Macaca mulatta: one gene and its partners. The protein of the gene in region 4 interacts with the protein of the main gene of each other region in a pairwise test. Links are inferred from orthologs where the notes say so. Each region holds a gene or a part of one and is shown on either strand. Other genes may lie near its edges.

Region 1 (3,500 bases), on a different chromosome or scaffold from region 4:
TTATGCCATTGTGGCTAAATATGTGTCTGCCGTGGTTTGGGTAATTGCAAACTACAATCTGAAATCACTGCCTGCTTGACGCTGACTACATACACAGCTGGCATACACATTAATTTTCTGAATACACATTTCTACATATACATTCATTTTCTGAAGGATGTTTGGTTCTGGTTAGAGTTTCAGGGAGCATATTGTGACCCATGGGAGAACTTTGGGGCCCACAGGGAATGATGGCTCATATCAACCCACCAAGAGGAAGGAGCCACGGTAGGAATGTGGGCTGTGAACAAACCTGGCTATCTCTATCAGTAGGTGGCATCCCTCAGTGATGCCTTTGAATGAGATTCTTGGCTAAACAGACTTGCCAGGTTAGGGCAGTGGGAATGCCCTGACCCTGTGCTGGAAACCTAAAGACATACCCAACTAGGGAGATTTCTTTCCCTAACTAAAGCCCTGCCTAATCCCTTCCCTGACTTTGGACCTCTAGAGCTTCACCACCAATGAGAAGGCCATCCTGGAGCAGAACTTCCGGGACCTGGTGCGGGACCTGGAGAAGCAAAAGGAGGAAGTGAGGGCTGCGCTGGAGCAGCGGGAGCAGGATGCTGTGGACCAAGTGAAGGTGATCGTGGATGCTCTGGATGAGAGGGCCAAGGTGCTGAATGAAGACAAGCAGACCCGGGAGCAGCTGCACAGCATCAGCGACTCTGTGTTGTTTCTTCAGGTAACAAGCCACTCCTCTGTCACTCAAGCCCTCAATTTCCCCGTGCACTTTTCGAGACCCCCCTCCATCATCCATCCATCCACCTATCCACTTATCTACCTATTCATCTATCCATTCATTCACCATCCAGTCATCCAACCATCCATCCATTCATCCATCTATCCAAGTGCCATTCTCTCTGTTTAATTTTTTAATCCAATCCATTTCTCTACCTACTCTCAAGATGGCACACAAATATCACCTTTTATGAACTTCAGTTGATATGTGCTAGCAGTGCCGTAGGCTCGGTAGGAAAGATTTCTGAGATCAGTGAATCGGGTAGAGGGGCAGTGGCGTAGGAGTGCTGCCTATTTGTTATCTTGGATCTAGTCCATTTGTCTATTCGTCCATTCATCCTTCCATCTGCTAGAGTGTTTTGGATACTACTGCATGCCCAGTACTCTATTAGGTGCTGTGGCGAATAGAGAAGTACAAGACATGGTTTCTGCCCCCAAGCAACTGCAATCCAGCTGGGAAGATAAGACATGTACAATTAGAGAACAATATAGAAAAGTGTGTAATTAAATGATAAAGCATATGGCTCAGGAGATAAGTGCTTGTAGAAGCTCAGAGAAGGGCAGGCGGGCTAGAGGAAGCTAAGACAGCTTTGTGGAGGAGGTGGAGTTTCAACTGGGTCTTGGAGGCCGGTTAGGATTTGAGAGGGAGGACAGAGTCTTCGGTGAGGAGGAAGGGAAATGAGAAGTGCAAAGGCAGCACTGAGCATGGCATGTAAAGGTAGAAATACCACTGTGGGCCGGGCGTGGTGGCTCACATCTGTAATCCCAGCACTTTGGGAGGGCAAGGCGGGCGGATCACCTGAGATCAGGAGTTCGAGACCAGCCTGGCCAACATGATGAAACCCCATCTCTACTACAAAAAACAAAAACAAAAACAAATTAGCCAGGCATGGTGGACTCACCTGTAATCCCAGCTACTCAGGAGGCTGAGGCAGGAGAATTGCCTGAACTTGAAAGACGGAGGTTGCAGTGAGCCAAGATCGTGCCACTGCAGTCCAGCCTAGGCGAGAGAGTGAGGCTTCGGAAAGAAAGAAAGAGAGAGAGAAAGAAAGAAAGAGAAAGAAGGAAGGAAGGAAGGAGGAAAAAGAAGGAAGGAAGGAAGGAAGGAGAAGGGAGGGAGGGAGGAAGGAAGGAAGGAAGGAAGGAAGGAAAGAAAGAAACAAAGAAAGAAAGAAATACCACCGTGGCTGACCCTGAATACCATAGTCATTCCTTGCATTTCTTTAGTGCATTCACTCCCAGTCTTCACAGCTTGTGTCCCTCTCACAAACCCTATGAGGTAAACAGATGCACCCACTTTAGCGGTGGGAGTCGTGGAGTCACACATCTGAATGCCAATGCCATCAGGGCTGTTAGCATCCAGTGAGTTTTAGCTGAACCTTTTCACCTTACAGAAGAAACAAACGTCCAGTGAGGAAGAGTGGGGCTTGCAGCACTGAGATCCCCAGCTGCACTGTGAGAGCCCCTGGCAGAGAAGAGTCCTCATAGCTCATGAAGACCCAGGCAGTTAATGGTTTTTTCCTTTCTTGGTAGGAATTTGGTGCATTGATGAGCAATTACTCTCTCCCCCCACCCCTGCCCACCTATCATGTCCTGCTGGAGGGGGAGGGCCTGGGACAGTCGCTAGGCAACTTCAAGGACGACCTGCTCAATGTATGCATGCGCCACGTTGAGAAGATGTGCAAGGCGGACCTGAGCCGTAACTTCATTGAGAGGAACCACATGGAGAACGGTAGGTCCCCTCTCGTGGCTGGGCCCCAAGGCCATGGACCTTTCTGTCCCAAATCAATTCCTGCTGCCTGACATGGGCTGGCGTCCGGTGAGCTTATTCTCATTGTTCCTACCCACCCATCCACCCTTCCTCAGGCTGTTTGGACTAGGATACAGGGATTCTAACCCTCCCCCTCCTTTGAACTTGCTGCCAAAGTTATGCAGCTATAACAAGAGGCCTCCAGAGCAGGGACATCCTGGGCACTGGCTGCACAAATGCCTCCTCTCTGTGGGTTGTCCATCAAACTCAGAGACTGGTTTTGTTCAGATCTACATCTAATTGCCGGGCCCCGCCCGGCAGCTGTATGGATCCTGCCCCTGGTACGGGCCATACTCCAAACTGGTGGCTTTGCAGACTCTAGCAGACGTGACCTAGAACTGCAGCCATGCCTGGAGGGAGGACTTGCCTGTCATCATGGCCATGCTGAGCAGTGCTGAGCCCAGAGGCTGGACTTGGCCTGGTGGGCTGGGCTGGGGATGGTGGGACAGTGTCTCTGTGACTCACCAGCTCCCCTGAAGTCAGCTCTTCTTCTGAGTCATGCTGTCCCCTCAGAGGTCAACTGAATCATCTCACAGAAAACCTCTGAACCTGAGAAACAACATTGTTAAGTCCTTTTCCACCCAGTCCCTTTAGGGCCTGAAGCCTGGGCACTTTCCCCAAGGCCCCACCCGATGTCCCAGGTGTTGCACGGGGCCTTGAGAGTACAGCCTTCTTAATGAATGCTAGACGTGAATACCCCAAAGGAAAGGACCCCTGATTGCTCTCCAGACACAGCATATGATTCTTTGGGGGAGGAGAAGGACATGAGGGGGATAGGAGTGTGCGGAAGGGTTGGGGTTCAGGAGGCCATTTGTGCACCTTGGTGATGGCAGTATCACAGTGTCCCTGTGAAATGTGGGGGACATTCAGTCACACCCAAGGACAGATAAGCCATTTCAGCAAGAAGCCATAT
Region 2 (3,935 bases), on a different chromosome or scaffold from region 4:
AGTGAGCCGAGATCGTCAGGCTGCACTCCAACGTGGGCAACAAGAGCGAAATTCTGTCTCAAAAACAAACAAACAAATGCCACCAATATACGAATTTGGGCATTACATTTCCAACATGTGAAATTTGAGGGACACATTCAAACCACAGCAGAGGGTCAAATCAGTTAATAAACTGCAACACCAGTACCTGTGCATACTAAGGGCCATATACACGTTAATCATTATCATCATCCTTTCGTTGGAAATCACTGAGGCCAAAGGAGTGGGTGAGACCGCCCAGAAACGAAGAGGGCTGAAGACAGTCTTTCAAGAAGTCAGCATCTCAGGCTCTTGTGCCGGAGAGGAAACAAAGAAACCAGCCAGGGGACTGGGCAGCACAGCTCTGAGGTCACCGAAAGGAGAAGGATGAACTTCTATAATGGCTGATTGTGTTTGGATGCTAAGGAGAGGAGAGGCAGGCATTCCGCTGAGAGAGGGAGGGATGCGTGGGGCAAGGCGGGGACGGGGAGCTGGTGTAGGCGGGAGGAGGGCAGACGAGTACTCTGGTCTATCCCCGCTTCCAGGACGCATCTTCTGGGAGGGGGGCGCGGAGCATGGATGGCGAGTATGGGGAACTCAGAGAGGGACAGTGTCTTGTCACAGGAAGGGAGGGTCAGGAGGGAAATTTGAAAGGAAACGTCTCTGGGAACCCAGGGCTCCGCACTGCCAGGCCCTGGCTCCTTCGGACAAAACCACTGAGCAAGAAAGAAAAGCCAGACCCCTTGGCAGGATGGACAGGGTCCCTGCCCACTGCGGGGTCTGAGGCCTGAGGCCTGAGCCAGGAGGCCTAGATCCCAGGACCTCCGCCTCCACCCCATGGATCAGAGCAGCCTCAACCCCGTGCGCGCTCCAGGGAGGGGACCCGGCGTGCGATGCGCGGGGGCTGGGCGGGCAAGGGCGGTGGCCCGGGCGGGACGCATAACACAAAGCCCGGAGCCACGAGGCTGGCGGCAGGGAGGGGGCCGGAGAGATGAATGGGGACGGCCGGGCCAATCCGAGCGCAGCATTTACAGCTGCGACAGAGAAAGCCAATCGGATCCCTGGGGCGGGGACGGGGGCGGGGACAGAACCAATCAGCTGTGAGGACGGGGCCTGGGGCGGAGCCGCGCAGAGTTTCAAACCGGCTGTGGTGGGCGAGGAGCAGCTGTGCTGGGCGTGTGATCCGCGTTGGTGCTGTCGGGTGAGTGCGGGCGGGGCACAACAAATTTCGTTCTTGTTCCCCAGGCTGGGTGCAATGGCGCGATCTCGGCTCAAAACAATTTTTTTTGTTCAGAGGGGAGGGCATTGGGTTCGGACACGCACGGCCTGTGGAGGCGTCTGGGTACTACAAGCGTCGGATCAAAATCAGGGCGTCTGGTGGGAAGGCCGGGATCTGCGTGGGGGCGCGTTTGGTCTGGGCGAGCTGGTGAAGGAGATGGTGATCGTGTCCTGGGCCCAGCGCTGAAGCTCGGCTACGGCGTGTCTTGACCCCGCCTCCCCTCCACGCCTGAGCCAGAGAGAGGAAGGAGGTTGGGATGAAAAGACAGCTGTTTTGGAAACTTGAAGTGCGGGACAGCAGAAATGCTGCTGACCCGAGACCTCTCTTCCAGGAAGCATCCTCCTTCCCGCACCCACACTTGCCAACTCGCCCGCTCCCCGCTCGCCCTCGCCACCCCGCTGCATCCCATCTCTTCCCCTGTGTCCAGGGTCTCTGTGGGGCCTGGAAATGGGGATGGGGAATGCCTTGCTGACCTGCTTTTTTGCCCTCCTCCCCAGGGTCTAGTGGACAGAGAAGACTCTTGGCCAGACAAATGGCTTCTCGGTGGCAGAGCATGGGGACCTCTGTGCGCCGGAGATCTCTCCGGCACCAGGAGCAGCTGGAGGACAGCAAGGAGCTGCAGCCTGTGGCCAGCCATCAGGAGACCTCTGCAGGGGCCCTGGGGTCTCTGTGCAGGCAGTTCCAAAGGAGGCTGCCCCTGAGAGCCGTCAACCTCAACCTCTGCACAGGCCCCTCCTGGAAACGCCTGGAAACCCCAGAGCCAGGTCAGCAGGGCCTCCAGGCTGCAGCTCGCTCAGCTAAGAGCGCTTTGGGTGCCATGTCCCAGGTAATAGTGACAATACTAATCATCTTTTTTATGGAGTGTTTCCTTGGTGCCAGACAGTTCCTGCCCTCAAAGAGTCTCAAGAATATAGACTCCAAGAAGACAGGGATTTTGGTTAGTTCACTGCTGTTTCCCCCGCACCCCAAATAGTTCCTGGCACATATAGGCACTCAACAAATAGTTGAATGAGTTAGTGAAAACATGTCTTGGAGGAAACAGATGCTCACAATACCAGGTGATAAGAGCTGTACGTGATAGGAAATTGCAAGCAAGTGGCCAATAGCGAGGGCTCGCCAAACACAAACTTAGCCGGTGAAGGCTTCCCAGAGGAGATGATTCCAGAGTTCACCCAGGGAAGCAAAGGTCAAGGGGTATTTAGGGTAGGAGAAATAGTGCAAGTCCAGAGCCCCTCAGGTCCAAGCCTAGAGCTGAGGGAAAGCAAGGTGTACTGCCAACTCAGCCGTGTACCCCTGAGGAGAGCCAGAATTGTAGTCTGGGTATGAGCAGAGGACAGAGAGCAAGGTAGAGCCGGGAGAAAGGACATGAAGGAGCTTAGACTCTCCCAGGAATGATCAGGAGTCTGGAGGATTCTAAACAGTGGAAAGTCTGGTCTCATTAGCATATTAGAATTTGTCCTTTATCTACGTGATGGAGAACGGAATAGAAGCAGAGGTGCTCCTGAAGGAGACTAAGGATCTGGACTTGCAGAGGATAAACTTCAGGAGCTGCTGAGAAGGTCAGTTAGAGGGGATTTGCTGTCAAATGAGAGGTGCTGGCAGGAAGATGTCCTTATATTGGATGTAAGCGTCTATGGGCCCTTCAACCGATGCATCTTTAAACCCAGAGCTGGAGGTGTAGACGTGTCACTTAGAAAGGACAGAAGCCATTAGGATGAACAGACCTCCAGAGAGAGGACTGGGGGCTGCAGAGGTTTCTCCTCGGTGTCTCATTGGGAATTCTGAAGACGAGAGAATTCTCCAGAAAGAGAGTGGCTCTTTCTGGACCCTCTGCAGAGAGTTCTCTGAGCCAAATGTTAGTCTTTATTTGGAAGAACTTTTTGATTGTTTTCGCCACCCTCAGGGATCAGAGAAATGAAATGAATTTGTCCAAGGTCACGTAACTCATCAGATTTAACCTGGGCTGGGCTCCAACCCCTGGGCTCTGGCTTGCCAAGGCAAAGACAGTCGAGCTGATGAAGAAGAGCCTTCACAGCCGTCACCCAGCTGGTGTGAAAGGCCCAGGAGTTGGGGCTTGGTCCTATGTGCAACAAGAAGCCATAGAAGGGTTTCGAGCAGTTGAGTGTCACAGTCAGAACTGCCCTTTAGAAGGATCACTATGGACCACTGTAGAGGGTGGATAGAGTGAGTGAGACCCGAGGCAGGAAGACAGGCGCTCTCCTGGTGTGCAGGGGGTGCTGGGCGGGGGAGCCTGCTCTACTCTGGGCCCTCTCCTTCAGTCCTGGGGTCAATCTGTGTCTGGAAAGAGAGTTTGGACTTAGACAAACAGGCTCCAGGCACCAGGGGGATCCTCCTGCTGCTGACTGCTGCTGTCATATCCAGGAGCTCTGAGCTGGGTCCCTGCCGTGGACTCATTCTACGAGGAGTCAGTCACATCCTTCACCCTGGAGACTAAAACAGCCTGTATTTACAGGACACTTGGTGGGTCTAGGGATCGCTGGTAGGGTCTGGAGACCAGGGTAGTTTACCCTTGGGTTTTTTGTTGTTGCTTGTTTGTTTGCGAGACAGGGTCTCACTCAGTCGCCCAGGCTGGAGTTCAGTGGCACGATCTCGGCTCACTGCAACCTCCACCTCCCGG
Region 3 (3,500 bases), on a different chromosome or scaffold from region 4:
TTTTTTTTTGAGATGGAGTCTCGCTCTGTTGCCCAGGCTGGAGTGCAATGGCGTGATCTCCACTCACTGTAACCTCTGCCTCCCGGGTTCAAGCAATTCTCCTGCCTCAGCCTCCCGAGTAGCTGGATTACAGTTGTGCGCCACCACGCCCAGCTAATTTTTGTAATTTTTAGTAGAGACGGGGTTTCACCATGTTGGTCAGGCTGGTCTTGAACTCCTGACCTCATGATCCACCTGCCTCAGCCTCTGAAAGTGCTAAGATTACAGGCATGAGCCAGCACGCCCAGCCTAAAAGTCAATTATATTTCTGTAGAAATTCTGAAGCAATGTCAAGATTCTGAAGCAATTTCAAGGTTCTACATAAAAAGTAATAAAATGTGTACCAATGAGGTTTCTACATTAATCAGGCTTAGATTTTTGGGACCTGTGCAATTTCTAAAAATCAAAATCATTTTCAAAGGACAGGTACCACCAATATACAGACTCTGAAGCAATTCCCAGAAGGGAATCCCAATATAAGTTTTAAAGAGGAGAAAATACTGTTTTGGATTCATGTTTTGGTATGGTTGTTTTGTTTTTTTTTTAAAAAGTCACATTACTTTATAGTCACATACTATACTGAAAATTTAAGAACTTTCTGTGTATACCAACTTTCTGTGTATAGAAACTTAATTCAGTGTTTCCTTAATAGCATATTTTTATTTCAACAATAATTTTATTAAATATATATTTTAAATTAAAAAATGTACTCTAATCTTGACAAATAATGACTATATAAGATTAACTACATTCTTACAGGGTTTATGCAGAGGCATTCAGTATTCGTGATAGTGAAGGGATCGTATTTGTCTGCAATGACAAGTAGATCGGGCACAGGATACACTCTCAAAGCATAGTCATATGCCCAATACACTGGGCAGACATAAAGAGGTAGGGGAGTCAGATGTCCTTGGGATAAGATAGTCTTTACAAACTACAAAAGAGCACAAAACAAAACAAACTTCAATTCATTTGCAAAAGTGAAAATAGCTAAACAAATAATTTCAAATTAAACCAAAAGGAACCAGAAAATTTGAGAAACAACTAGGAAAGCTTTGACTCACAGAGCTTTGGGAGACACTAATTTAAAAACGAAATGAACTATTCTGTATTTTAGGGAAAAAAAATCTATGAGTTTTCATTTAATAACATATATATATACATCATTATGCTGCCCAGGCTGGTCTCAAACTCCTGGCCTCAAACAAGCCTCCCAAAGTGCTGGGATTACAGGCATAAGCCACTGCGCCTGGTCCATAAACTTTAAATATTATAAAATGAATAACACAAATGCTCTGTAACATCTATTTCCATACTTCTCAAATGGGGGTATATGTAACCTGGGATTGATAACTGTATGTGAGGGAACCTTGAAGCTACAAGATAAATACTGCACATTCTTGTGATATGGACATACTATATAAAATATGTAACCAATGGGATAAATAAGAACAGTTTATTAAAACAAATATACATATATTTTAAAGTATGATTTAAGAGTTTAAAAGACAAAACACAAAGCTTGAAAGAAATTTTCTGCTTATTCTCAGCTTTTCTCTGTCCTTTAGGGTATACACTTTGGTAGAAAGCTGCGAAACACTGACTTCACTAACAGAAATTAACATACTGACAAAAGTATGTTCAAACTATTTTGAACCATAAATAAATGTCCTAACCCAAGGACAAATTATTAAGTGGCTTAATAAAATTTTATATAATGCAACATGTAAGACAGTTTAATAAAAAAGATGTTTCACTTACATGATTAGGAATAGCCAAATTGCTACTAGGAAAACGGACGCAGTTTCTGCACATTTTATTTACTAAGTCTTCACGGAAGACAATAATTTCCTGTGTACAGTACTGAATTCTGAAATGAAAACAGTAGTTGAATTTGACTTCTCAGAAAAAAATGAGATTAATTTTAAAGGTAAAATCTCTTAGAATACAAGCCCATTCCCACATCAACTGTTCACCATACAAAACTGCAACCAGAGTCTGTCTATTCATCCATTCATTTAACAGCTATGTATTGAGCTCTTAATATATGCCTACCCCCTTCTAGGGATTAGCGAACAGAACCAAGAGATCCCAGCCCTCATACAGTTTACATTCTAGTGAAGAGTGGGGCTAAGAAAATAAAAAGCAAACATAATTATATAGTATGTTTTAAGATAATTAAGTGTATGAGAAAAAGAAAAAGACAGGCTAAGAGGGATAACATATGTAGGAAGAGAGAGCCTAGAAGGCTGGCATATTAATAGGATGATCAGAACAGGCAGGGCTCATAATTTAGTGTGACTTGAGCACAGGCTTGAAGCGGAAGAGGGACTTAGTCAAGCAGATATCTAGAGGAAGCGCACTGCAGGCAAAGGGAAGATGTAGCACAGGCCCTCAGACTGGAGCTTGCCTGGCATCCTTGAGGAACAGAAGGGAAGCTAGGGTGGCTGGAGTAAATGGGGAGGAGAGGAAATCAGAGGGAGAACGGGGCCAGATCACACAGGGCCTTGATTCCCACTGCAAGGATACGGCTGTCACTAAATCACATGAGGGGGCCCTTTTTCCAGGATCAGGAAGATGGACTGGATATGTCTTATGCTTTACAGGATCACTTTCACACTGCATTAAGAGTAGAATATGGAGGGGAAGGGGTAGAAGCTGGAGACCAATTAGGAGGCTATTGTAATAATCCAGGCCGACCAGATGGCAGAGCGGGGCTCTGCTAGCAGTCCATGGTCTGTTAGGAACTGGACCACACAGCAGGAGGTGAGCGGCAGGCTGCAAGCAAGCAAAGCTTCATCTGTATCTACAGCCGCTCCCCATCAGTTGCATTACATCCTGACCTCTGCCTCCTATCAGATCGGTAGGGGCATTCGATTCTCACAGGAGCACGAATCCGGTTGTGAACTGCACATGTGAGTGATCTAGGCTGCACACTCCTTGTAAGAATCTAATGCCTGATGATCTGTCACTGTCTCATCATCCCCAGATGGGACCATCTAATTTCAGGAAAACAGGCTCAGGGCTCCCACTGATTCTATATTATAGTAAGTTGTATAATTGTTTTATTATATATTACAATGTAATAATAATAGAAATAAAGTACACAATAAGTGTAATACGCTTGAATCATCCCAAAATCACCCCCACCCCCCTGGGGTCTCTGGAAAAACTGTCTCCTGTAAAACCAGTCCCTGGTGCCAAAAAGGTTGGGTACCACTGTGGTAGAGGGTTGTGGAGGTGGAGGTATAGACAGGTGGCAGATTCTGGATATAATTTGAAGTTAATAGGACTTCCTGAAAAAACATATGTGAGAGAAACCCTAAAGTGTTTGGCCTGAACAACTGGAATAATTGTTATTCAGGCCATGAAGGTGCCACGAACTAAGATGGAGAAGTCTACAGAAGAGGTTAGGGGCGCTGGTGGGGAGGAAGATCAGGAGTTCACTTAGGTTGGGATGG
Region 4 (4,286 bases):
TTTAGTACAGACGGGGTTTCACCATGGCCAGGCTGGTCTTCAACTCCTGACCTCAGGTGATCCGCCCACCTCAGCCTCCCAGAGTGCTGGGATTACAGGTGTGAGCCGCCACCCCCCCCCATGCCCTGCCTTGTTTTTTTTTTTCTTTTCAAAACAAAATTCCCAGTTAGGTGCAGTGGCTCACACCTGTAATCCCAGCACTTTGGAAGGCCAAGGCAGGTGGATCACTTGAGGTCAGGAATTCGAGACCTGCCTGGTCAATATGGTGAAACCCCATCTCTACTAAAAATACAAAAATCAGCTGGGTGTGTTGGCACATGCCTGTAGCCTCAGCTACCTGGGAGGCTGAGGTGGGAGAATCACTTGAAATGTGAGGCAGAGGTTGCAGTGAGTCGAAACCTTGCCATTGCACTCCAGCCTGGGTGACAGAGTGAGACCCTGTCGGAAATAAAAAGAAAAAATTCCCATATACCCCTATCATAAATTAATACATCAGCCACTTGTCGAGGCCTTGAGAGATTGGAGGAAGAGAGCAGAGCAAAAAATTCAGAATTAAGGCATTGTCAAGAAAGGAGAATAACACAAAGAGAAGCAACAGTGGGACTTACACAAATCCACTATTAGCACTTGTCTGAAGAATGGTAACAACGCAAGCTAACTGTATCCAATAATTTTACCCATCTCAGCTTTGCCAAGGATCAACCTTGGTCTACGCAGTTAGCAGGTTAAACTATACTGACAGGTCTGATTTCCAAGGGTTCCAAACTTGGCTCCTCCACGCTTTCCCCAAAAGAAAGGGAATCTCTTAGTTCTCTGGGTGAGTTCCCACTGCCATGTGCAGTTGATCCCCCTCTACCTACAGGTTCTGGGTGACATGCTGGACAAGTCTAAGGGAAGTAACATCAGCTCTACAGAAGAGGGGAGCACCAGCAGAAGCGACTGTGAATTCCAACAACCCTTACCAAGAGTTCAGCTCGTGCCTGTTCCCCTTGGGCCCGACGTCTCTTCTTTAAATCTTTCACTCTTTTTAAATGGTCAAGCTGGTTCTGGATTTGCTCCTGAGAAAAGCAAAACAGATGGGCAGTTCAAAACTAGGTAGACCTTAGCATCAGCATGGTACTTCTAATCACACATGGAGTCCACACACCTGATGCCAAGTATCCAGTTGGCACTTGTTCTCAGGCCACACTGCCACCCACAAGAGAAAGACTCAGGGCGCAGGGGCCAACAAGCCACTCATTTGGCAATTTGTGTCTATCTTAGCAGCCTGTCGCTTCAACCACTCAGCTACCTCGTCAGGATTATTTGTGTCTATCTTAAACAATGAATCATCTACCTGTCCCTGGTAGGATATCGCATGACTTAGCGGAACTGTGACTGGAGTAGGAGGCTTAGAGTTATGTTGTATTGTAGCTCTTCCACACAAGCATACTGTGAAAGTGACTTCTTATTTCCCTCATGTGTGAAATGGGCAAACACCATCTTCCCAACCTACTCAAGAGTTCTCACCAGAGTAAGTGAAAGAATATAGCTGAAAGGTCCATAAATGTTAAGTGATTAATTACACATGAATGTATTCATATTTAAACACGGACATAATTGTGTATGAATTCCTGAAGCCCTCAACATACAGAAAATACACAGTATCATGGACTCCTTGAAGGTCACCTTACAACTGTTTTATATGTAATATTTTGTTTCCACGTTTCTGTTTAGCTGTGCCAGTTCACAGAGGGCTCTGTGCATCACATGATTCCATAATCTTCCTCATAACTGTTATCTCCTGAGTCTCAGAGTGGTTAAATGACTTAAGCAGTGAAGAGCCTGTTCTTTTCTGTGAGTTTCTAGACCAGGACGTATTGCAGGAAAGTGCTGGGGAAATGCTTATAGACCAAGGAATGGGCATCGGTCAGTTAATGTCCGACTGCGTTTTGTCTGACAGCCGACGAGAGTACATGTGTCTCTACAGCTCGTCGATGTGCAAGCGATTTTATGCACTTCTTTTATACTGTCAAAAGCATGTCTCCGTGTACAATGTGTCCGTGAGACAGGAAACATGGGGGCACACAGAGAAAGGAGAGTGGGGGTGGGGAGACTTCTGGCTCCCTCGCCAGCTACAGGTTTTCCTCCAAATCTGAGTGCTGAGGCTCTGGGGCGGACAGAGAGGAAATGACGGCTGTGAACCACACGTCCGGCTCAGCCATTTTCTAGGCGGAAAAAGGGAAGCCCCTTTGGCTCTCTCCTCCCTTTGTCCGACTCGCGTTCCCGCCCTCCCGGATCCGCGCCCTCACCTTGAAGCCCTCCACTGCCTCCTCGAGCGGCAGCACGCTGTGGCCGCGGTGCTCGCGGGAGCGGTCGCACACCACGCAGATGGGCATCTGGTCCTCCTCGCAGTAGAGCTTCAGGGGCTCGCGGTGTTTCTCGCACACGCCCATCTCGCCGCCGGGCCCCGACGGCCGCTCGGTGCGCAGCTGCTTCACCAGCTGGGTCACGTTGGCCAGGTGCCGGTTGGGCCGCATGTGCCTCTGCGGGAAGGTCTCCCGGCACTGCGGGCACGACACGTTAGTCTCTGCCGTGCCCCAGCAGCGGGCGAGGCACGCGCAACAGATGTTATGGCCGCAGTCGAGCATCATGGGCTCTGCGAAGTACTGCAGGCACACGGGGCAGGTGGTCTCCTGCTGCAGGCACTCGGCCACGCTCCCGGAGGCCATGGCGCGGGCCTGCGGGGGCTCACGGGCATGGGCCCCGGCGCCGAGCTCTGCACGGAGCCCAACTCTCCGGCGCTCTCTCCCGTTCGCTGTTCCTGGGAGGCACCGGGCGGACGGAGGGCGGTGCCTCCCGGGCCCGTATCCCAGACGCGCCCGCGCACCGAAGGCTCAGAGTGGCCGGGCCGATCCCTGCGCCTGTGCCCCCTGAGCGAGTGCGGGAATACAGCCGGCTCACAGAGACTCGCGGCCACGCTACTGGGGCAGGAACGGGTAGCCAAGGGTCAGGATCCCAGGGCCAGGCGCGCAAAGCGCGCAAGACAACGTGGCCGCGTCCGAGCGGATCCCGGCGGCCGCGTAGACCCCACCCCGGCGCGAGCGGAAGAGGCGGCTCGGGGGGCGGGGCTTGGCCCGCGCTTCTAGTGTGTGACAAGATTTCGTGGCCTCGGGGCCCGGGCTGCTTTCTCTAGAAAGGCCTGGGAGGCTCCGCCACTCTCCCTTGGGCGGGTCGCGCCGAAGCTCTAGCCTAGGGGACTGGTCACAAAAGCAGATGGTGCCACACGCTCCGGGCCTACAAGCTTCCGCGACTGCCGGGCCCAGGCCCCTAGTGTTTAGTTGGGTTTCTTCTTGGTGCCCAGGTCTCAGCCCCTGCTAAAGATGGCTTTGGCCGCGCGCAGTGGCTCACGCCTGTAATCCCAGCATTTGGGAGGCCGAGGCGGGTGGATCACGAGGTCAGGAGATCGAGACTATCCTGGCCAACATGGTAAAACCGCATCTCTACTAAATATAGAAAAATTAGCCGGGCGTGGTGGCAGGCGCCTGTAGTCCCAGCTACTTAGGAGGCTGAGGCAGCAGAATCGCTTGAACCCTGGAGGCGGAGGTTGCAGTGACCCGAGATCGCCACTGCACTCCAGCCTGGGCGACAGAGCGAGACTCCGTCTTGAAAAAAAAAGAAAAGAAGAAAGAAAGCTGGCTTTATATAGGTGCTGGGGAGCGCAGACATCTGGCTTCCCCAAGAGGCTGGAGGATGAGGAGGGTCACCGTCTGAGCCCACCTGATAGGTGAGGCCTTTTATTAAACAGACCCATTTGTAGGCACTTGCAGTTTTGTTTAGAAAAAGAAAGGTTTAATTATCAGATGGTAACATTTCTGTGTGGCAATAACAAGCCCAGCTCTGCTACCTCTCACTTGTGCCCAAGCAAGTTGGTTTACCATTCATTTACCTCAGTTTCTCCTCGTGTGAAATGGGGATGATAACTGTACCGCCGTAAAGAAGTAGATTTCGTTACATCTTTTACTTTTTGAACCATAAGGTTGTTTATCCATTAAAATAGTAACAAAATGCCCATTACATAGGGTTGTTGTATTGAGGAGCAACTAAAAATTGCTTGCTCCTTTCTGAAGTATAGAGAGACTAAGAATCCTACAGTGACCCAGGGTCTTGGAGTCCCACAATACTCGTTGTCTTATCATGCAGTAGACCTCCAGCATTTTTAAGTTGCTTTCTTATCCCTTGCTTGATGTCTCCTGCTTTTCTTTGAGATTTTCTCAATATTGTCCTGCTATCTGAGCAATACGGGC
Region 5 (3,936 bases), on a different chromosome or scaffold from region 4:
AACCACATGGTGACCGGCCAAGTTCTAGGTAAGCCAATAAAGCTAATATACACAGTTCCTTTTTCCTCATTTTCACTCTCATCTTACTTCTCCTTTTTACCATTCCATCTTTTTGGAATATAGACAGCATTCTTCTATACTTCTTTTGCTTTAATAGCAATTATCTCTTCAGTAAAAACTCCAAATGTCATTCAAAATATTTACCCCCAAATAGAAAGAAAGTCGAGCTGTAACTCTAATACTTATTACACGGCCGTGTCTGACACAGAGTGGATTCTAAAAGGTTAAGTGAGCGGACCCCAGTGAGAATGAGGGCACTCCGTGCTGACGGGAGGCAGCTGAGAACCGCTGACACACACTCAGGTCCTTTTCACACCGCACAATCCCGGCGGCCTGACCCTGATCTGTCCTCGACCACCCTCTCTGAGCACTGGTGGTAAAAACCCTTAAACATAACAAGACTCGGAACCTAAAGTCAAGACAAGATCTGGTCGTTAAGGTGGGACGGCGGCATCCTTCTTGCCCATCAAAGGAGTAAGCTTTACTGAAACTTCCTGCCACAATGAGAAAAACACAAACACAAGGCAGCGCGCCCTTCCCACGTCCAGCACTGGTCCCGCACAGCAGCGGCGGAAGGACCCTCAGGTGTCCGCTCCTTCACGGCCAGGCAGGGCGGTGGGGCGGGGACGGCAGGACGCTGCCGGGGACCGGGTGGGCATCTCCGCGGGCCCCGCAGGCCTCGCCCCAGACCCGAGCCCAATCCCGGCCCCACGGCGGGGCCAGGTTCCGACCGCTGCGCGCCCATTACCTGTGGCGCAGAGCCGCAGAGCGGCCCAACTCCTCCACGCTGCCATGCCAGCCAGGGAGAGCTGCAGAAGCTGACTCTGTGCAAAAGAGGGATAAAGACACTGGGGTTCGCTGCCTGCCCGCCCGGAAAGGGAAGCAGACCCCACCCGGAGCGGAAGAGAAGCACCGCGCTCAATACGGGGGCGGGACTAGCCGGCCTCGTTAACCTCCCAGCACCCGGCTGGTCTCTAATTCTGGCTATGAGGGGGAGTACGGCGCCTGCGCGAGGAGGGTAGCGCCTGCGCAGTCGTGTTCTTAAGAATGCTTTGCGCCCCCGGCGCCCCGCCCAGCCCAGGAGCGTGGGAACCCTGCTTAAGGGCTTTACTAGGGACAACGGTGGTTGTTCACTGGGGCGAGTTTCTGGGAAGGTGAGTACCGGTGAAAGTTACGCTGAGGGTGAGGTAGGCTCCGACGACGCAGTTGCAGGTTGAATATTGGCACATCATTTACTTGCTACTCCCATGCAGTAAATGCACCTGTGGGTTTTGATGCTGGATCAAATTCCTGGAAAGAGGCGCGCATTAAGACTGTGGATTGCTGAGCTGCGCGACACTCCGTATTTTTCCAAAACGTACTTGTAATATTCTTTCAACCTGTTTGCATAATGGGACATCTCTTAAATGCAGCAAGCTTTAATGCATTTTTGCCAAAGTAAGGATTGCCTCTTTAAAAACTTTCTCTTGAAACTTGAGAACATGAAGTTAAGCGTAGGATATTTTTTGATGACTCTTTTCTGATTATTTTGGGACTAAATAAATAGTATGAAATATTTATATTGCTACCTGTTTTTTCTTCTACACGACAATGATTTGTAAAAACCATATACTTTCATGAGACGGTTACTGCAGCAGTCACTACTTCCGAATTAGATGAAATTTTTATGGGACATAAGGTACCAGAGAATTTAGATCAAACCAAATTTTGAAAACCTATGACAGCAGAAGGGGGATATGATGTCAGCCGGTTCACCTTAGGTTCAAAATTCCAACAGGCCGAAATGTTATAAAACGTTGTTATTCCTAGTGACTGGAAGATTAAATTGCACTGTAATTGAGAGCAAGCCCTAAATGTCACCCCCTTTGTGCATACAGCATGCACAAACGCGAGCCCTCTGCAGATTCAATTTTTCTTTTTGTTTCTCTTTTCTTTTCTTTCTTTTTTTTTTTTTTTTGAAAAAAGTAGACTAAAACGTAAGAGGACAGTTGAAGTGATGGTAATGTTCTCGCGGTGGTGGAACAGCTTTATAATAGTACCATCGCCTCGATACTCTTATACAGAAGCTTTTCTACTTTCTTGGCAAGGTCTCTGAATGACCCATATTCAATTTTTTTTTCATTCTAATGTATTTCAAATTTTTCTGTCTTCCACATCATGCAAAATAAAATAATATCTTTTTATATTTGCGTTACAGTTTAAGTTCACATGTGGAGAACAACGAAAACAGGTTGACCTAGATTTGTGCTCTTCAGTAGTGTAGCCACTAACCATATGTCGCTATTGAGCTTTCGAAATGTGCCTAGTGTGATGAAGTAACTGAATATTTAATTTTAATCTCAGTAAACTCAAAAACTGGCACTTGATTCAGCTATTGGAAAGTTTTTTTAATATGGTTGGAACAACTGAGGTATGTGAATCTACTTTTTCAACTGTAAACTTTATGAAATCTAAATACTGATCAAGTCCCAGGCGTCGGTGGCTCATGCCTGTTATCCCAGCACTTTGGGAGGCTGAGGCAGGAGGATTGCTTGAGGTGAGGAGACTGAGACCAGCCTGGTCAACACAGGGAGACCCCATCTGTACAAAAAATTAAAAAATTAGCCGGATGTGGCCTGGCGCGGTGGCTCACGGCTGTAATCCCAGCACTTTGGGAGGCTGAGGCGGATGGATCACTAGGTCAAGAGATTATGACCATCCTGGCTAACACAGTGAAACCCCATCTCTACTAAGAATACAGAGAATTAGCCAGGCGTGGTGGCAGGCGCCTGTGGTCCCAGCTACTTGGGAGGCTGAGACAGAAGAACGCATGAACCCAGGAGACCGAGCTTGCAGTGAGCCGAGATTGCACCTCTGCACTCCAGCCTGGGCGGCAGAGGGAGATTGTTTCCAAAAAAAAATATCAGCTGGATGTGGTGGCACACACCTGTGGTCCCAGCTACTCCAGAGGCTGAGGTGGGAGGATAAGTTGGGCCAGGGAAGTTGAGGTTGCAGTGAGCTGGGATCCTGCCACTGCCTTCCAGCCTGGCAACAGAGCAAGACCATGTCTCTATAAAATAAATATCAATTAAATATTTCTGATGAAATTAGAGAGGTTGTAACGAGATATACTATAAATGTAAAATATACACTGGATCACTGGATTGGGAAGACAATATAAAACTGTAAAATGTCTCAATATTTTTGTACTGATAATATGTTATAATGATTATAGCTTAGATATGAGTTAATTAAATTATTAAAATTAATCTCACATGTTTTTATTTTTAAGTGTAGCTACTAGAAAATTTATAATTACATATGTGGTTTTGCATTATATTTCCGTTGCACATCACTGATCTAGGCAACGTGAAAATGATCAAAATAATGCATTAATCTGAAAATGATTTAATAAACCAATAAACTTTTTAGGCTTTTTGTTCAGAGAACATGCTAAATTTCCACATGCTAAAACATATTCTGCGGTGAAAATTTTAAGTGTTTTTTTCTGCTTATCTACCTCAAGTGGTGATTTTTTTTTTGAGATTTAAAAGATTCTACTATTTTGACAATATTTTTAAAAAGACTTTCAGATAAGCTACACTTGTACAGGTATATATATATATACCTTGTGTATTTTGCATACATATTGCTGTAGTCTAAATGTGTAACCCAAATTTCATATGTTGAAACTTAATTGCCAATATGATAACATTAAGAGGTGGGGCCATTTGGGCATGATTTAATCATGAGGTGGGACCCTCATGAATGTGATTAGAGACCTTATAAAAGAGATTGAAGGGATTGTCTTAGACCCCTTTTCCCCTTCAACTTTAAGCCATGTGAAAACACAACAAGAAGGTACCATCCTGGAAGCAGAGAGCAAACCCTTATCAG
Region 6 (4,109 bases), on a different chromosome or scaffold from region 4:
ACATTATTGCATCTACTACACTCAGCCATTCTTGAAAGGGGGAAAAAATCAAGGTTGCCAAAACTTTAAAAATTACTTTAAGGCCGGGCGCAGTGGCTCAAGCCTGTAATCCCAGCACTTTGGGAGGCCAAGACGGGCGGATCACGAGTTCAGGAGATCGAGACCATCCTGGCTAACACGGTGAAACCCCGTCTCTACTAAAATACAAAAAAAAAAAATTAGCCGGGCGAGGTGGCGGGCGCCTGTACTCCCAGCTACTCGGGAGGCTGAGGCAGGAGAATGGCGTGAACCCGGGAGGCGGGGCTTGCAGTGAGCTGAGATCCGGCCACTGCACTCCAGCCTGGGCAACAGAGCTAGACTCCGTCTCAAAAAAAAAAAAAAAAAAAAAAATTAATTTCAGAAGCCAAGTTCTAGGCATATGAAAAAGCTATAAAATAATTAAAATATACCATTTCAAGGATGCTTTAAAGATTTAAAGAACGTCCCCAGTAGACCCAAGGCTAAATCTAACACCATCATCCATAGCAGCAGCAGATATGCTACACAGCACGATGTGCCAGGCAATTTTTTCAAACGCTTTACATATATTAACATTTAATTCTCACAACCTGAGTTAGAAAGAATTAAGGATAGCCATTACACATCTCTGTTGCAAGAGCCAGCTCCAATATATCAGTAATGTCAAGATGAAATGTCAGAATTTTCACCTGTGAAATCAGAGTGCCAGCCCAGACATACATATTGTTCTCATCATACTGTGAGCTTCATAAAGCAGGGGCTACACCTTACTTCCTCACCACTGTATATCCAGTATTGTGCACAGTGCCTGGCACAAAGTAGGCATTCATGCAATATTTCCTGAAAGAAAATATACTGGGGAGAGCGCATTTGTTTTCAACTTAATATTAACTCAGGTGAACTTAAGTTCACAACACAATGATTATTTCTGAATATTTATATTTATATAGGAGAAGAAATGTACTGTAAATCAACCCATAATTTTAATAGAGCGAAGATTAAAATCTTGCTGAAAGCTAACTATTTTGCCAAGTTAATTCTACATAATGGCTTGGTGCAAATTAATTCAGTAATCAAGACAAAACAAGAAAAGACTGTGGGTTTTAGCTCTAATCACCACTGAAAGTAACCCAGAAGCTGTGCTTTCATACTTTTAAAAAGGATAACATTTGCCTTTACCATTTGATGGATTTTTTTCTTAATTTTTAAAAACATTTTTGTAGAGACAGCCTATGTTGCCCAGACTTGTCTACAACTCCCGGCCTCAAGTGATCCTCCCACCTCGGCCTCCCAAGGTGCTGGGATTACAGTCTTGAGCCGCCACTCCTGAGGACTTTTATACACACAACTATCGACTAATTCCAGATTTTATAAACCCAGCATTTCCATCATCTAAATTTCCAAGCCAACACATTTTACAAAATAAAACAATGTTAACCATCTTTTCAACTTCAAATCACTTTGGTTGGGGGACGGAGAGAGAACGTCCATTTATTTTAATATAAAACAAGAGAAACACCTAAACTGCCCTACGAAAACATCAATACCACCAAATCCTTGCACTTGTACACAGACTGGCATAAACTGGCCACTTTCCTCCATCAGGAAAATAGAGGCACCACGTTGCCTCGAAAACAAATCCTCAGACACGATTTTAAAAAGCATTACTGACAATTTCTTCAGACATCTCAAACGTCAATTACCTGCTACAGCGAGTCTGCTGCTGAGAGTGACCTTGAAATGCAATGGTTTCAAGTGTTGAAACGGAAAGGTGTTGAAAATAAAACACAGCCCACAATGGGTTTTCTGGTACAAACATTCTGGTTCCCTCCAGTCTGAAAGCCCAACCATAGCAGCATCCTTACTCCCAAGGAGGGGCCTACTTGGGGTGCCTGGGATGCTGGCGTTGAGACATCATCAGACGACGCGAAGGCATAAGGCATGAGGCAGGGCAGACAGCCCTGAGCACATGAATAACATGTGTTGTATTCATAAACCGAAATATTTAAGTAGCAATTAAAAGGAAAAAAACTAGACCTAGGCATTACAGCTGGATCTCGAAAGCTTACTGTCAGAGTGAAATGTGCAAAAATGATACTAGGTTATACCATTCGTACCACATCAACAATCACAAAGCAATACCATATACGTGATGCCAAAGCATAAACATTTCACGGGAAGGATAAAACACACACACACACACACACACACACACACACACACACACATTTTGAAGTTGGTTACCTCTGGAGAGGTGGGGAAAGGATGAGTTAAAAGCAAACTCCGTTTTTCCCCATTATGACCGAATACATAGGATGGGAACAAGCCTTCCTTTACAGAAAAGGACTCTTAACTCCCGGAGGTAGGAGGATGAGAAAGGGGCCTGAGGGAGCGAGGAAGGCGCGCATCCGCCAGCGGGAGTTGGAGGCTGGGAGGTGCGGAGGCGTGAAGCACGCCGAAAAGCCGGGGACGCGCGGGAGTGTCTGTAGGAGCGCTCACGAGAGAAATGCCCGCCAAGGCCGCCCCGCACTTACAGATTGATGGTGCGCTCCAGGGTGAGGGGCTTGGTCTGCTGGATGTACTTGTTGCCGAACTGAGTGACCCCCCGGGGCCAGCCGGTCTGCGAGCGATTGGGCGGTACCACAGACATGCTGGCGAGCTCCGGCGCTGGCGGCGAGCAGAAAGTGGGAGGCAGGGGAGACTTTCCCGGTGCGGGAAGCGGTTATCTGCAACCCCCTCAGCAGCTACCGCCCGCCATTAACAGGAGAGCGCAAGAGGAGGCGTAGGCACGCCGGAAGTGAACCCGGAGCCTCTGGCGGCAGGAAGTAGAGAGGAGGTGGCCTGCCAGACCGAGCGCCATTGGGCCAATAGCTGGTGGGATGGCTGCAATAGCTGGAGCTCCCATTGGTAAACCGGGTATAGGTTCCGCCTCCTCTTGCTTTGGTGATTCCCATTGGAAACACAGTAAAGGAGGCATGCCGGGAATTGTAGTCCCCTCAGGAAAGTAGCGTCTTGATCAGTGTGGCGTGGTTCTGTACCTTGGGAGGAGATGAATGGGAAGCGGCCAGCGGAGCCTGGCCCAGCCCGGGTGGGAAAAAAGGGAAAGAAGGAGGTGATGGCGGAGTTTTCGGACGCTGTTATGGAAGAAACCTTGAAAAAGCAGGTGGCTGAGGCCTGGAGCCGCAGGACGCCGTTCAGTCACGGTAACCGGGTGCTCTCAGGGAGGGGCCGCCACGCGGGGATCTGGGGACCTCTGAAAAAGCCCTGGGACTCGCGCGCAGCCCTGGGTAGCGGGGCCGCCAGGGAAGACGCTCTTGGAGGACTTTGACCACCTTGTATCCTCCTGCCTCGGCTGCTGCTCCCTTTCACTCCAAATTCGGTTTGAATTTAGAAATGTGAGAAAAGGGAGAAATGGAGGCCGGAGAGTTTTGGGAAGCAGAGGGTATGCAAGTGATAGTTGCATTCTGGAGTCACAGATTACTGAGTTAGAATCCTCTCCCCTGATTGCGCGTCGCCGGGCAATGGAATTAACCTTATTGAACTTCAGTTGCTTCCTGAGTAAAATGGGATAGTTCATAGTATTTACGTCAGAAAGTCTGTGAATGGGAGCAATACACTAATGCTTGCAAGCTTCAGTAAATGTTTCCCTGAGTAAGGCCCAATACACATCTGGACAAATACGGGAGTAGCTGATGTCATTTCTCCTGCAAGGGCGTTGCTCGGCTGTCCCAGGAGAGTCTAGCCAGGGCATTTGTGGCGAGCTGCCAGCTCGGCTCCCTAGTGTACTCGTCTCTACGCGCCTGTAGTTTGACTCCATGTTGTATGAAAATAAACGCGCGTTGACCAAGGAAAGGAGCCTACGTTGAACGATTCCAGCCTCAGTTTTAAATATCACCTTATGTGTTCAGAGCTCTGCTTCATGCGCCAGGCATCCCCTTCTAGAGTTTGCCGTAATTTCTCTTTCGTTGTCAAGTGCTTTGAAGAGGTGAGTCCTGGGTAGGCTGGATGCCTATAGAAAACGATGGCGTAGTGTTAAAGTGCAGGCTCTGTTCTCTCAGTTTCTACATCTGTAGGATGGAGAGAGTGATAAT
Region 7 (3,963 bases), on a different chromosome or scaffold from region 4:
CTGTAATTTTTTTCCAAGGAAGTCAGCCTTGAACTCAAAGAGACTGATTTTTTACAAAGTCAGCCAGTCGCAAGCTCGGCTCAGCGTATGCTGCTCTATAATCGCACCACAGTCCACACCCTTGTTTGTTGCTGAAAAACAATAAATAAAGCAAAGGGATCCAAACAGCCCAGCTGATGTTCAAAATCTGAACAACAAGGACAGGAAGTCCAAAATATCTAAAACAAATCTCCAAACAACCTGGGTAGGTGAGGGAAAAGGCGGAAGAAAGTAAAAGCTAAAAGATAATTAAGGGCAAGACATGCCTGGACAACATAGACTCCATCTCTACAAAAATAATAATAATAATAATTATTATTATTATTATTAGGTGGGTGTGGTGACATGCACCTATAGTCTTAGCTACTTGGGAGTCTGAGGTGGGGGGATCCACTGAGCCCAGGAGTTTGAGGCTGCAGTGAGCTATGATGGCACCACTGCACTCCAGCCTGGGTGACAGAGCAAGATTCTGTCTCAATCAGTCAGTAAGGAAAGGAAAGAAAGAGACTAACAATTACTGAGGTCCTACTATGTGCTAAGTATTGGGCTTCCCACTTTACCTACATCATCCCATTTAATCCTCACAACTCTATAAGGAAAACAGGCTCTCCCATTAAAACAACCTGTCCAACAGAGTTTGAAAGGATCAGAGCTGGAATCTGAACTCTTGTTGGCAGGCCCTGATGCCTGGGGCTTTCTCCAATTTATCTCACTCATTTATTGTTACATCAGTACCATTTACCAAGGGATTACTGTGTGGCAGCTCTCTGCTAACTGCTCTATGAAAAACAATGAAATCCATAGGATAGATCCAAGGTTAAAGAGGAAACTGAGGCTCGGAGAGGCCAACTCACTTACCCTAAGTCATAAGGCTAGGAAGAAGTGGCTCTGAGCTCTGAACCTAGGTCTAATGCCAAAACTCTGACTCTTGCAAAGCCATCCTGCTGCATCTGCTGGACAGCTCTACTCGAAAGTGTCTGGCTAAGTTAGAATGCCTTATGGCGGCGCGAGCAGAGTTGAGTTACAAAAATTCCTGTAGTAGCAAAATTCCCATCTTCCCACACCGAATGGGGCTAGGAGAGCTAATCTCTATATGATGTAAGCTCAAGGGCCGAGGAAAGAGGCTGGCCGGAGACATCGGCCAGTGATGAAGCAGCTGACATCATCCCTGCTGAAAACATTTTCTGAGAATACAAGATGCCTTGTAGCTGGTCATAGCTGGTGTTTTTTCTGAGCACAGAGCCAGCAATTCATTCCCAGCACTCTGCAAGAACAACAAAATACGCTCTCTGCAAAAACATCGTGGTTACAGGAGACCGAGACAGCCCAACGACAGAAGCTGTTAATTTCTCCAAGCAACCCAAGGATTGGAACGCCAAGCCGTGCCAGTCTGGTGGGAGAAAAAAAAAAAAACCCAAAAGACAAAAAAACAGCACTGTGAATATCCTGAACATAGAGGCAGGCAGGTGCCCAGAGTCAACAGCTCCAGTCAGCACCTCCTGAACCCACAATCTAGGCACCCTCTTGAAAAGCAAGTCAATGGAAAGAGAGATATTGCAGTCAGGGAGGCAGTGGCTTATTTAGTTATTTTCTAAACATCTAAGAGGAAAGCTGTATCTGTTTAGACTCCCACTGCATGGAAGTGAAGTGATTCCGAGTAACAAAGCATTCGCTTGGCTTTACCTCAGCTGGCCCATTCAAGCAGAAATGTTCCCCAAGCAGTATTTGAAGGCGCCCCCTCTCTGCACAGGCAGAGCTATTTTGGTCTGTGCACTGCCCCTGTCCACAGGTTTACACATCCCTGGTCTAGCTCCATCAGCCTCCAAACAGCAGACGAGGAAGTCAGTTCAACCCCCTCCACCTCCCCACCCACACCAATGCACTCGTTCCAAGCAAGAGGCTCCGAGACACATCCAAGGCACCTTCCACGGGCTGTGAAACACCAGAAGGTCCCCACACTCCTACTAGATTCCAAAGAAATTCACACAGAGTCCTTCCAAACCTCTGAAAATAACCTCAGCGGTGCCGAAAGAAGCTTCCCTAGTGGCAGCTGCCTCTGAAGGAAGCTGTTTCCCTCCCTGCAAGGGACAGAAGCTGGCGGCTGCTAAGTCCCAGCTCGGTCATTCCTACAGCCTCGGGGGGCCACGTCAGTTGTGAAAAACAGCCCAGTCTCAAATTCTGGCCCTCCCCACGGGTTCGTGAATTGAATGAAGTAACAGGAACTATCACTTACTGGACGCCTGCTGTATGCCAGGGGCCCTGCATGATCTCATTCCATCTCTACTCCAGCCCTAGCAACCAGGTTCAATCACACTTAAACAGGCAACTGAGGCTCTTAAGATGAAGTGACTTATCCAAGGTCACACAGTGAGTACAAACCCAGGTGTGCCGCCAGAGAGTCTGAACTGGGAACCCCTGCGCAGTAACCGCCTCGTGGCGAAATCGGGGTGTCCTTCTGTTTGGCCAGTCGCCGAAGAGAGGGTGCTCCTCTTGAGCGGCCCTGAGCCACCCTCGGTGGGTTCCAGGAGCTTACAAGGCAGCTCCCAGGAGAATGGGGATCCTGAGGATAGGCTGGGGGTCCCGGGAGCGCCGAAACAACGGGCCCACCTGTAGTCCTGCCTGACGTGAGGGGACCCCGCTCACGGGCCAGCAGAGCCCTGCCGCTGTCTGGCGCCCCCTCCACCTGGGGAAGCCCCGGACACAGTTTCCGCTCGCGGCCGCCCGTCACTCACCCTGACACTGCCGCCGAGGGCTGCCCGGCCGAGGGAAGCAAGCGGGAGGCGCGGCTGCCGCCGGAGCCGGGCCCCACTGGGCTCTAGCCGCTCCGGCCGGCTGCAGGGGTACTGAGACCAGTACCCGCGGGCCAGCAGCGACCCGGAAACACTCGGCCCGGAAGTGAAGTCGCCAGGAGGCGGGTCCGAAGAGAGGGTGGACCACGGCTGCGCGCTGGCTCCGGGAAGCGGTCGATGCCCGCGGCCGACGGAGACTACAAGCCAGAGGCCGAGAACAAAGCGGAAGGCCGAAGAACGAGGACGAAAGCGGCGGAACGGCAGTTTGGAGCCTAACGAGCCATCGTCGCGTCTGGAGCTAGGACCCGGAAGTAAACAGGCCGGACGTGACGGAAGCCACTCGGTTTAGGGATGGTGGCTGGCCGGGTTGTCATGGAAACCGCTACGGAGCCTGGAGCTGCATTCATGACTCCGCACAAGCAAGCAGGGGCTAACGGTCGGATCCCTCGCCCCCATTGTACGAACAGAAATACTGAGGCTCAAAGAGAGCCAGTGAGACGCTGAAATCACGCGTGATTGGAATCCAGCCTTGCTAGGGCTGTCGGTGTTACGGGCTGTGGGCGACGGTTAAGAGCGTGGGTCCCATTTTTAGCTTTGCCACTTACTAGCTGTGTGACCTTGGACAAGTTACCTAACCTCTCTGAGTCTCAGCTTTATAACCTGTAAAATTAATAAAGCCAGGCGTGGTGGCACGCGACTGTAGTCCCAGCTACTCGTGAGGCTGAGGCGGGAGGATCGCTTGATCCAAGGTGTTCGAGACCAACCTGGGCAACATAGCAAGGCCATGTCTCTTAAAAAAAAAAAAAAAAAAAAAAAAAAAAGCCGGGCACGGCGGCTCACGCCTATAATCCCAACACTTTCAGATAAATTATATATATATAAAATATATATAAATATAAAATATATATATAAAATCTGACATCCCCACCAGACCCTGAGCTTCTTATTCATCTGTTTCCCCCCAAGCTCCGCACATGTCTGATGAGGAGGCACACAATAGATGTTCATTGATTGTAGGATTCTCACTCTGAGTCTCGGTGACCCCAGCTAAAACCGGTGGGCCTTGTGTGATGAATCAGTGACTTTAATACTGGGAAACGTTTGGAGAACCAGCAATCTGCTGTCCAAACAGTAG

What was found.
Region 1: the proteins of TRIM27 (region 4) and TRIM29 interact in a two-hybrid assay, tested with the Homo sapiens proteins (2 studies listed by BioGRID and IntAct). The link is inferred for Macaca mulatta from reciprocal best matches to the Homo sapiens genes TRIM27 and TRIM29.
Region 2: the proteins of TRIM27 (region 4) and PIMREG interact in binary tests that used the Homo sapiens proteins (3 or more experiments, as listed by UniProt). The two-hybrid records come from large-scale screens. The link is inferred for Macaca mulatta from reciprocal best matches to the Homo sapiens genes TRIM27 and PIMREG.
Region 3: the proteins of TRIM27 (region 4) and POLE2 interact in binary tests that used the Homo sapiens proteins (3 or more experiments, as listed by UniProt). The two-hybrid records come from large-scale screens. The link is inferred for Macaca mulatta from reciprocal best matches to the Homo sapiens genes TRIM27 and POLE2.
Region 5: the proteins of TRIM27 (region 4) and CCDC102B interact in binary tests that used the Homo sapiens proteins (3 or more experiments, as listed by UniProt). The two-hybrid records come from large-scale screens. The link is inferred for Macaca mulatta from reciprocal best matches to the Homo sapiens genes TRIM27 and CCDC102B.
Region 6: the proteins of TRIM27 (region 4) and NUDT21 interact in binary tests that used the Homo sapiens proteins (3 or more experiments, as listed by UniProt). The two-hybrid records come from large-scale screens. The link is inferred for Macaca mulatta from reciprocal best matches to the Homo sapiens genes TRIM27 and NUDT21.
Region 7: the proteins of TRIM27 (region 4) and SPATA2 interact in binary tests that used the Homo sapiens proteins (3 or more experiments, as listed by UniProt). The two-hybrid records come from large-scale screens. The link is inferred for Macaca mulatta from reciprocal best matches to the Homo sapiens genes TRIM27 and SPATA2.

The regions. Positions count from the first base shown.
Region 1 is NC_133419.1:120,805,998-120,809,497, reverse strand, and holds part of TRIM29 (tripartite motif-containing protein 29), read left to right. Parts: intron 1-487; coding exon 488-721; intron 722-2,310; coding exon 2,311-2,509; intron 2,510-3,500.
Region 2 is NC_133421.1:7,925,440-7,929,374, forward strand, and holds the start of PIMREG (protein PIMREG), read left to right. Parts: upstream 1-1,135; 5' UTR 1,136-1,219; intron 1,220-1,794; 5' UTR 1,795-1,829; coding exon 1,830-2,123; intron 2,124-3,935. UniProt on the Homo sapiens protein: During mitosis, may play a role in the control of metaphase-to-anaphase transition.
Region 3 is NC_133412.1:122,869,713-122,873,212, forward strand, and holds part of POLE2 (DNA polymerase epsilon subunit 2), read right to left. Parts: intron 1,910-3,500; coding exon 1,801-1,909; intron 974-1,800; coding exon 797-973; intron 1-796. UniProt on the Homo sapiens protein: Accessory component of the DNA polymerase epsilon complex. Participates in DNA repair and in chromosomal DNA replication.
Region 4 is NC_133409.1:154,415,202-154,419,487, reverse strand, and holds the start of TRIM27 (zinc finger protein RFP), read right to left. Parts: upstream 2,801-4,286; 5' UTR 2,712-2,800; coding exon 2,292-2,711; intron 1,059-2,291; coding exon 963-1,058; intron 1-962. UniProt on the Homo sapiens protein: E3 ubiquitin-protein ligase that mediates ubiquitination of various substrates and thereby plays a role in diffent processes including proliferation, innate immunity, apoptosis, immune response or autophagy.
Region 5 is NC_133423.1:11,949,062-11,952,997, reverse strand, and holds the start of CCDC102B (coiled-coil domain-containing protein 102B), read left to right. Parts: upstream 1-1,136; 5' UTR 1,137-1,214; intron 1,215-3,936. UniProt on the Homo sapiens protein: During interphase, forms fibers at the proximal ends of centrioles to maintain centrosome cohesion. During mitosis, dissociates from the centrosome following phosphorylation to allow centrosome separation. Contributes to CROCC/rootletin filament formation.
Region 6 is NC_133425.1:52,007,898-52,012,006, forward strand, and holds the start of NUDT21 (cleavage and polyadenylation specificity factor subunit 5), read right to left. Parts: upstream 2,801-4,109; 5' UTR 2,669-2,800; coding exon 2,553-2,668; intron 1-2,552. Other genes in the region: prolyl 3-hydroxylase OGFOD1, read left to right, coding at 3,068-3,221. UniProt on the Homo sapiens protein: Component of the cleavage factor Im (CFIm) complex that functions as an activator of the pre-mRNA 3'-end cleavage and polyadenylation processing required for the maturation of pre-mRNA into functional mRNAs.
Region 7 is NC_133415.1:102,752,112-102,756,074, forward strand, and holds the start of SPATA2 (spermatogenesis-associated protein 2), read right to left. Parts: upstream 2,801-3,963; 5' UTR 2,772-2,800; intron 1-2,771.